Oryctolagus cuniculus: one gene and its partner. Each later gene encodes a partner of the first gene's protein in a complex. Links are inferred from orthologs where the notes say so. Each region holds a gene or a part of one and is shown in the gene's direction. Other genes may lie near its edges. The genes, in order: RANBP9 and ARMC8.

Evidence for each region.
Region 2: the proteins of RANBP9 (region 1) and ARMC8 are in contact, whole or in part, in a cryo-EM structure (PDB 7NSC), measured with the Homo sapiens proteins. The link is inferred for Oryctolagus cuniculus from reciprocal best matches to the Homo sapiens genes RANBP9 and ARMC8. Residues at the interface, in NP_005484.2 of Homo sapiens: Tyr271, Gly298, His299, Ser300, Leu301, Gly302, Ile303, Asp337, Asp340, Tyr341, Arg343, Glu344, Thr347; in NP_001350870.1 of Homo sapiens: Gln245, Arg246, Asp247, Val277, Leu278, Lys279, Ile317, Ile320, Thr321, Asp322, His323.

The regions. Positions count from the first base shown.
Region 1 is NC_091436.1:156,925,039-156,928,944, forward strand, and holds the start of RANBP9 (ran-binding protein 9), read left to right. Parts: upstream 1-1,394; 5' UTR 1,395-1,715; coding exon 1,716-2,301; intron 2,302-3,906. UniProt on the Homo sapiens protein: May act as scaffolding protein, and as adapter protein to couple membrane receptors to intracellular signaling pathways. Acts as a mediator of cell spreading and actin cytoskeleton rearrangement.
Region 2 is NC_091435.1:143,475,590-143,479,395, reverse strand, and holds part of ARMC8 (armadillo repeat-containing protein 8), read left to right. Parts: intron 1-967; coding exon 968-1,043; intron 1,044-1,137; coding exon 1,138-1,228; intron 1,229-3,623; coding exon 3,624-3,684; intron 3,685-3,806. UniProt on the Homo sapiens protein: Component of the CTLH E3 ubiquitin-protein ligase complex that selectively accepts ubiquitin from UBE2H and mediates ubiquitination and subsequent proteasomal degradation of the transcription factor HBP1.

The DNA.
Region 1 (3,906 bases):
CATCCTCCGCTGCTTTCCCAGGGGCATTAGCAGGGTGCTGGCTAGGAAGCGGAGCACCTAGGACACAAACTGGCACCCATATGGGATGTCACCATTGCAGGCAGTGGCTTAGCTCCCTGAGTCACAATGCCAGGCTCGAGATTATTATTTTTTAAAGAAAAATGGGGTGGGACCGGTGCAGTGGCACAGCTGGTTAAAGCCCTGGCCTGAAGCGCTGGCATCTCATATGGGCGCCAGTTCGAGATCCGGCTGCTCCTCTTCCGATCCAGCTCTCTGCTGTGGCCTGGGAAAGCAGTAGAAGACGGCCCAAGTGCTTGGGCCCCTGCACCTGTGTGGGAGACCTGGAGAAGCCAGAGCTTCTGGCTCCTGGCTTCGGATCGGTGCAGCTCTGGCTGTTGCGGCCAATTGGGGAGTGAACCAGCGGATGGAAAACCTCTCTCTCTATAACTCTGCCTCTCTAATAAATAAATCTTAAAAAAGGATGTGTATACATCCGGTCTTTGTAAACATAAAGCCCACTTCTGCTAGCTAGGAGAGGGTAAGCCGAACACACGGAGGTAGTGACAACGCAACAGTAACACGGGTCGGGTCTGGCAGGTCGTGCGAATCAGCTGCTCGGACCAAGCGCTCTGCTGACCTCCGTAAACATTCCCTGGTTTTGAAACAGGGCGTACTTCTCTCCTAACCTAACAAAGCGAGCTGTTAGCGGGATGCACGAGTCTGTAAAACGTCTGACTGGTTCTAGAAGCCCTTCCTAAAGACTTAACATCCTAGCCCGGTGTTCCTACAGTTCTCGTCGCCGCTCCGTTAGCATTTCCGAAACAGCACCCAGTACTACTGTGAAGTCCACTTGGGGTGCTCGTCCAATTCCTCTCTCAAGCGGGACACTCGGCTTTCGGCAATGGTTTCCACCGCCCAGGTGATCCACGTCAAGGCCGTCTGAGCGCCGCGAAGCGTGGACAGCGGGCTGTGCCTCCGCGACCACGCCGCCCCCAGGGCTCGGAGCTCCGCACGACCGGCCCCGGGGCTCCCCGAGCGCTCCGGGGGCGCCCGCAGGCCGGGCTCGCGGCGGCCCCAGCGGGGCTCGATTGCTCTCGCCTGGGCGCAACGCCTCACGGCGGCCCGGAGGAGCCCCGCGGCGCGGAGGTGGGGCGACGACAACAAAAAGCAGCCCGGGGGGCGGAGACTGGCCGGCGGCGGCCGTGAGGCGGGGGCGGCAGGCCCGACGCGAGCGTCCCCGCAGGTCCCCGCGGCGTCGGGAGCCCCGCGCCCGCGCCGGCGAGCGGGCGCGGCCCAGGGGCCTTCGCCGCACGCAGCCGGGACCCCGCGGCCCGCCCCCCGCGCCTCCGGCCCGCCCCCTCGCCTGGCGCCGCCCGCGCGCAGCGTCTCGCGCCGGCCCGCCGGGAAACAGCCGCGAGAGCTTGCGGTGCGGCGGCCGCCAGCGCGCCCGCGACCGCCCGCGTCCGCCCGCGTCGGCCCCCCGCGCGCCTGGGGTGCTCCGGCCAACGTTCTCTCGGGGCCTGCCCGGGCCCGCCGCCCACTCCCGCGGCCCCCCAACCGCCGCGCTCTCCCCGGGCGCGCGCGGCCCCTCCGCCTGCTTCCGGGGCGGGCGGACTCGGCGCCTGGTGCCGGCGGCCGCAGCGACAGCGCCCCCGGCCAGCGGAGGAGGAAGGAGAGAAGAGGTGGAGGTGGCCGCAGGCTGAGTCGCGGCCGGGATGTCCGGGCAGCCGCCGCCGCCGCCGCCGCCGCCGCAGCCGCCACAACAACAGCAGCAGCTGCCGCCGCCGCCGCCTGCGGCCGTGGCCCCGGTCTCCGGAGTCGTCCTGCCCGCGCCCCCGGCCGTCGGCGCCGGCTCCTCTCCGGCAGGCTCGCCCGGCGGCGGCAGCAGCGGCGGCGGCGGCTTGGGGGCCGCGGCAGCCGCGCTGCTCCTCCACCCGCCGCCGCCGCCGCCGCCGCCGCCCCCGGCCACCGCGGCCCCGCCGCCGCCGCCGCCGCCCCCCGCCGCCGCCGCCGCCGCCGCCGCCTCGGCAGCCGCCCCCGCCAGCGCGCCCCCGGCGCCCCCGGGCCTCTCGGCGGGGCCCGGCCCGGCCCCGGGCCTGGCGGCGGGCAGCAGCGCCGCGGCCCCCTTCCCGCACGGAGACTCGGCCCTGAACGAGCAGGAGAAGGAGCTGCAGCGGCGGCTGAAGCGCCTTTACCCGGCGGTGGACGAGCAGGAGACGCCGCTGCCGCGGTCCTGGAGCCCGAAGGACAAGTTCAGCTACATCGGCCTCTCGCAGAACAACCTGCGGGTGCACTACAAAGGTACTGGGCGTGTGTCCTGCGGTGGGGGAGCGGGGGCGCTGACCCGACGTGTCCGGCCGCCGCCCGCGACGCTCGCGACCCGGGCCCTGGGCGGTGACCCGGCGCAGGGGTCGCGGGGCCGCGGCCGGGGGACAGGGGGAGCGCGCTGCCCCGGGGCGGGGGAGCCGGGATGACAGGACGGCGCGGCGAGGTCGGTCCTGGGCTCGGGCTGGGTTACATTGTTCTCCAGGTGGTGGCTCGGGCGTGCTTTTTTCTTCCGGAGAGGAGGAGAGGCAGGCCTTGGGGGAGGAGTAGGCGGTGGAGGGTTTGGGCCCGCAGTGAGGCCAGGGACTGTCTGCGGGGGGACAAAAGGACGAGGGGCCCAGGTTTGCCAGCCCCGTCTCCCGCTGAAAGCCGGTGGGAGGCTGCGCTTGCTAGGGGAGCAGAAACCTGTCACTCCTGCTCCGAGATGCCCTGTGTTTCCGGGTTGGTGTTGCGTGAAGTCTTGCGGAAAAGCGAGCGGTTTAAAACCAGTGTCATTCAGTAGCTTAAAGGAAAGTGGATTATATTTTACACCTGCAGTGGAAAAAAAAAAAAAAGCAACCAACCTTAGCCTGGTGGTGCCCCCCCCCCCCCATCTTCTCCTAGGGCGTGCAACAAAGCTTTAAGCAAATCAGTTGCCTATGAAATTAGAAATTGCCATGGGAATTTTTGAAATGTAGCCCAGGTTGTCAGTAGCATGCATCGAAGTTTGCTTGTGTGGAATGAAAAGATCCATCTCGCGTAGCAGGCGGTCTGGAAACAGATGCAGTGTTTTAGGCCCCAAACCCGAGGCCGGAGCTTTGGCGTCCAGAGCAGCCTCATTTTGATTGGCTACAAAGGGAGGGTCTTACCCAGCGCCCAGTGCGTGGCCTCTCCGCAGAGGTATAAACAACTTTGTGGCTGAATTCTCAAAAGTATACAGGCACGAAATTGGTGGAGAACCTTGATACATGAGTTACTGTTTATTCGGAAGGGACAGTGGCAGCAGAAACCGAGCAGAGGGTTTGGCCGCGGGGAGCCAGGCGCAGGAACAGGCCTCCTTGGCATTCCTTTGTATCCAGAGCAGGGCTTTCCGTTCCTAACGCGATGCTCCTGGAGGCTGGACGTTTGGGAACACGGCGTCTTTGTCTCGTCAGTTCCCTTGCGAAGTGATGCTTCTGTTCTCAGATCCGGGTGGACCGCCCGGTGTTCTGAAGTGTTTGCGCGTGATCTGGCTGCCAGCAGGCTTTTGTTGGACTTGACAGGACTTTCCCCCTGAAGTTTGCCAGCTGCGCGTTTGAAAGGTGGCGAGCACTGGGAGAACCCCAGCCTCCCTGCAGGGCCGTTGCACGTGTGTTCCTGGGAGCAGAGAGGGAGTTGGCTGGGTGGTGGGTAAGGAAATTCCCAGCCCTGGATTTCCAGGGCACCTACGAGGCGTGATTACAGGTTGTTGAGCGCCGCGCACGCTTTGAGTTGTGTAAACAGAACATTGATGATGTGGGGCAGTGGAGAGCGCGTGTTTCTGTGAAATTGGTTGGAGTTTGGATTATTGATGATGCGGCTGTCTCAGCTGTCCTGATGGCTTCTTCATTGCTTTCTGTTGTG
Region 2 (3,806 bases), on another chromosome or scaffold:
CCTGCTCTCCTTCCATCCCCCCCCCCCCCCCCCCCCCCGCGCTTTAGACTTCCTTATCTACTCTAATAACTTGAAACTTACAAGTTGTAGAAGGGACAGTGTCTGGTAACGCTGCTCTTCGGCTAGGATTGTTCCACCGCTATGGTGTCATTAACATGCTCTCATTTCTGCCTGTGGTCTGTGCCAGTCCTGCAGAGCATTCCCCAGGAGAGGGAGTGTGCTGCTTCACTCCCCTGCTGCTTGTCTGGGGAGTGCCTGCCAGCCCCAGGTTCTACATGAGAACAGTGCCTGTAGACTCTGGCTTTGGAAGTGAGGATGAGATCATGTGGTAAAAAATGAATGGAAAGAATAAAAAATAAGAGTTCTCATAGGAGCCCCTGCAAACAATAAAATGTGTTTATGTGATCAGGAAACAAGGCCCTTGATAGTATTCCAAACCAGTAACCTAGTTTTAAGAAAGGGTAACATAATTGCTAGGTGTTCTATTGGTAAATTAATTTAGTCCTTTTCAAACTTTTGTTGTAACATTGTTTCCTCTGCCTTGTTTTTTTTTGTCCCCATCTCCATCTCATATACCTGCTCTAGTTTTGCCTTCCCTTCAGTCTTGTAATTAGGAAGGAAGCAATGTCCCACTTGAAAGGCTCTTGGTAATTTTTTGAAGTTCCCTTTGTCTTACAACGCTGTATTTTGTACAGTGTTCTTACAGGTTTGATTAGGGACTTATCTAGTTCAGTTTTAATTGCTGCTGCTTCCTCATTATTGTTCTATTACTTCAAAATTGATTTTAATTTTTCTATAATTAATTCTGACTTTCACAGTACTCTTCAAATCATGCAAATATTATTGCCATTCCTTTGAGGCTTCCTTTTAGTATTTTAAGCAGATTTAAATAGTTATTTTTTCAGGAGAAGAGTTTAGATTCTGAGCCATTAAAATAAATGCACTATTTGTTCTTTGATTTTTACAGGTTCGAATGCAAGCACTGAAATGCTTCTCCGTTTTAGCTTTTGAAAACCCCCAGGTATCGATGACCCTGGTGAATGGTAGGCTGAAACTTTCAGTACATCTATAAAATTTAATTTATGAACTTTATGAATTTAAATAAGTTTCTTAATCCTTTTGTTTGTTTGCTTCTAGTTTTGGTTGATGGAGAATTATTGCCACAGATTTTTGTGAAGATGTTACAGAGGGATAAGCCTATTGAGATGCAGCTCACATCGGCAAAATGGTAAAAGTCAAGACAATGTGGGAGAAAAGTGCTTTATCCATCTCTTAGAGTATTTTTGGACAGTTTCAGTCCCTCTTGCTTTGGGATTTTGAAAATTGAAAGTCATGCCACATTTTGCTAAATGAAAGTCATTTTTAAAATTTTATTTGAAAGGCAGAGAAACAGAGATAGGCAGAGAGATCTTCTGTCCACTGGTTCACTCCCCAGGACTGAGCCAGGTGGAGGAAGCCAGGGGCCTGGAACTCAGTCCACATCTCTAGTGTGAGGAGAGGAAGCCAAGTATTTGGGCCATCACCTGCTGCCTTCCAGGGAGTGCAGTAGCAGGAATCAAGCAGAGCCAGGACTAGAGAACCCAGGCACTCAAATACTGGGATGCAGGTATCTCAAGTGGCGTCTTAACCACTGTGCCAAATGCCACTTTAGAGGTCAGTTTTTAACATTCAGTTTATTACTCATAGTATGCAGGACAGGAACTCTCATATATATCGAAGACCCATCTACAGAAAATTACTTTAATGTCCTTCCCTGTCTTTGTATTTCAGTTGAGATGATACAAAATTGAAATAGATACAATTAATGCACATTATCCTAGTATCAAACCACAAAAATGAAAATATAGACAAATGTAGAGAGAATTAATTAAAGATGATAACCAGGGAGTGATTTTTTTAAAAATTAATTAATTTATTTGAAAGGCAGAGGCAGAGAGAGAGATAAAGAGAGGTCTTCTATCCCCTGCTTTATTCCCCAAATGGCTGCAATGGCCAGAGCTGCACCGATCTGGAGCCAGGAGCTTCTTCCGGGTCTCCCATGTGGGTGCAGGGGCCCAAGCACTTGGGCCATCTTCTTCTGCTTTCCCAGGCCATAGCAGAGAGCTGGATTAGAAGTGGAGCAGCCAGGACTCTAACCGGCACCCATATGGGATTCTGGCACTGCAGGCAGTAGCTTTACCTGATATGCCACAGCGTTGGCCCCAATGGGACATGGGGGATGATTTCTGAGAAGGAGACTTTTTTTATCTCTTAAAAGAACAGCAAACAGAATCTTAGATATGTGATATTTTGTATGATAATAGTGTAAAATTAGCATAATTCCTATCTCATGTAAGCATCCAGTGTGTGTTCATTCTGCAATTACCAATAGAGGTAATTACGGGTATGTTGAGCATATGTATGGTTCTATGCTAAGTGAAGCTGTGGCTCTTTAATAGAGAATTAGGATTTTCAGTGAATTACTCATGAAAAGTAACAGCTACAAAGATTTCAACCTTCTACAAAATAAGTATAAAAGAATTTTCCTGATTTGTGTATAGTTTTCTCTAAAAGCCAAACATAGAATGTTTTACTTTTTGCCCTGGGACTGCCTTCTACTGGTTTATTTCCCAAATACCCATAATGCCCAAGGCAGGGCCTAAAGCCAGGAGCCAGAGAAGTCAATCCAGGTCTTCCATGTGGGTGTCAGGAACCCAGTTATTTGAGCCATGATCACTGCCTCTCAGGGTCTGCATTAGTAGAAAACTGACGTCATGAGTCAGAGACTGGCATCAAACTTAGGCACTTATGAGTATCTTAACCAATAGGCTAAATACCCATTCCAGAATAATTAGTTTTTGATGAATAGTTGTGTTACAAGTTAAGTGGGTCTTTTGTGCTACTTCTACTGTATTGGAGTTAGACTATCTCAACTTCATTTATAAACTGAGATGTTTTGTTAACTTTTTAATATTTCCTCCTCTTTTATTATAGAAAATTTAAAACAAAATAACAGAGAAAAACATAACTCACATGTACTTAGCACAGTTTCAAAATGTCTGCACTTATTAGGCCGTCTATTTTTAAAACAATTTGGTAGGTTTTTTTGTTTGTTTTTAGTATCTGGCTTACTATCTATATGTGTGTGGTTTTGCTTCAGTTATTAAATTGAACCTCAGGTAAAGGAAGGTCAAAATGTCTCTCAAGATACATGGTAGTAGGGACCAACATTGTGACACAGTGGGTGACGCTGCTGCATACGACACCAGCAAACCATGTGAGTGCCAGTCTGTCCAGCTGCTCCGTTTCTGATCCAGCTCCCTGATAATGGCCTGGGAAAAGCAGCAGAGGATGGAACTGTTTTGGCCCCTGCTACCCAAGTGGGAGACCTGAAAGAAGCTCCTGGCTTCAGCCTGGTCTAGTGCTGGCCATAGGGACCATCTTGGGAGTGTACCAGCAGATCAAGATTCTCTCTCCCTCTCTCTCTGTAACTGACTTTCAAATTAATAAATAAATCTTTTTTAAAAAATGATAGTACTTGTTTTTTTGTGTTTTATTTTTCATAAAATCTCAAAGGCAAATAATTTTTCTTTTTAAAACTTTAAAGCCAAAGGTAAAACTTACTTTTTGCCATCTTATTCCAGTTTAACTTACATGTGTAGAGCAGGAGCAATTCGGACAGATGACAGCTGTATTGTGTTAAAGGTAAGCTAATGAAGTCTCCCTGGAAACATGGGAATTACAGTTCTATAAGTATTGAGTATGTATAATAGCATTCTCACTTTTTATGTATTTATCATTATAGATGTGTACATGGCATAAAATGT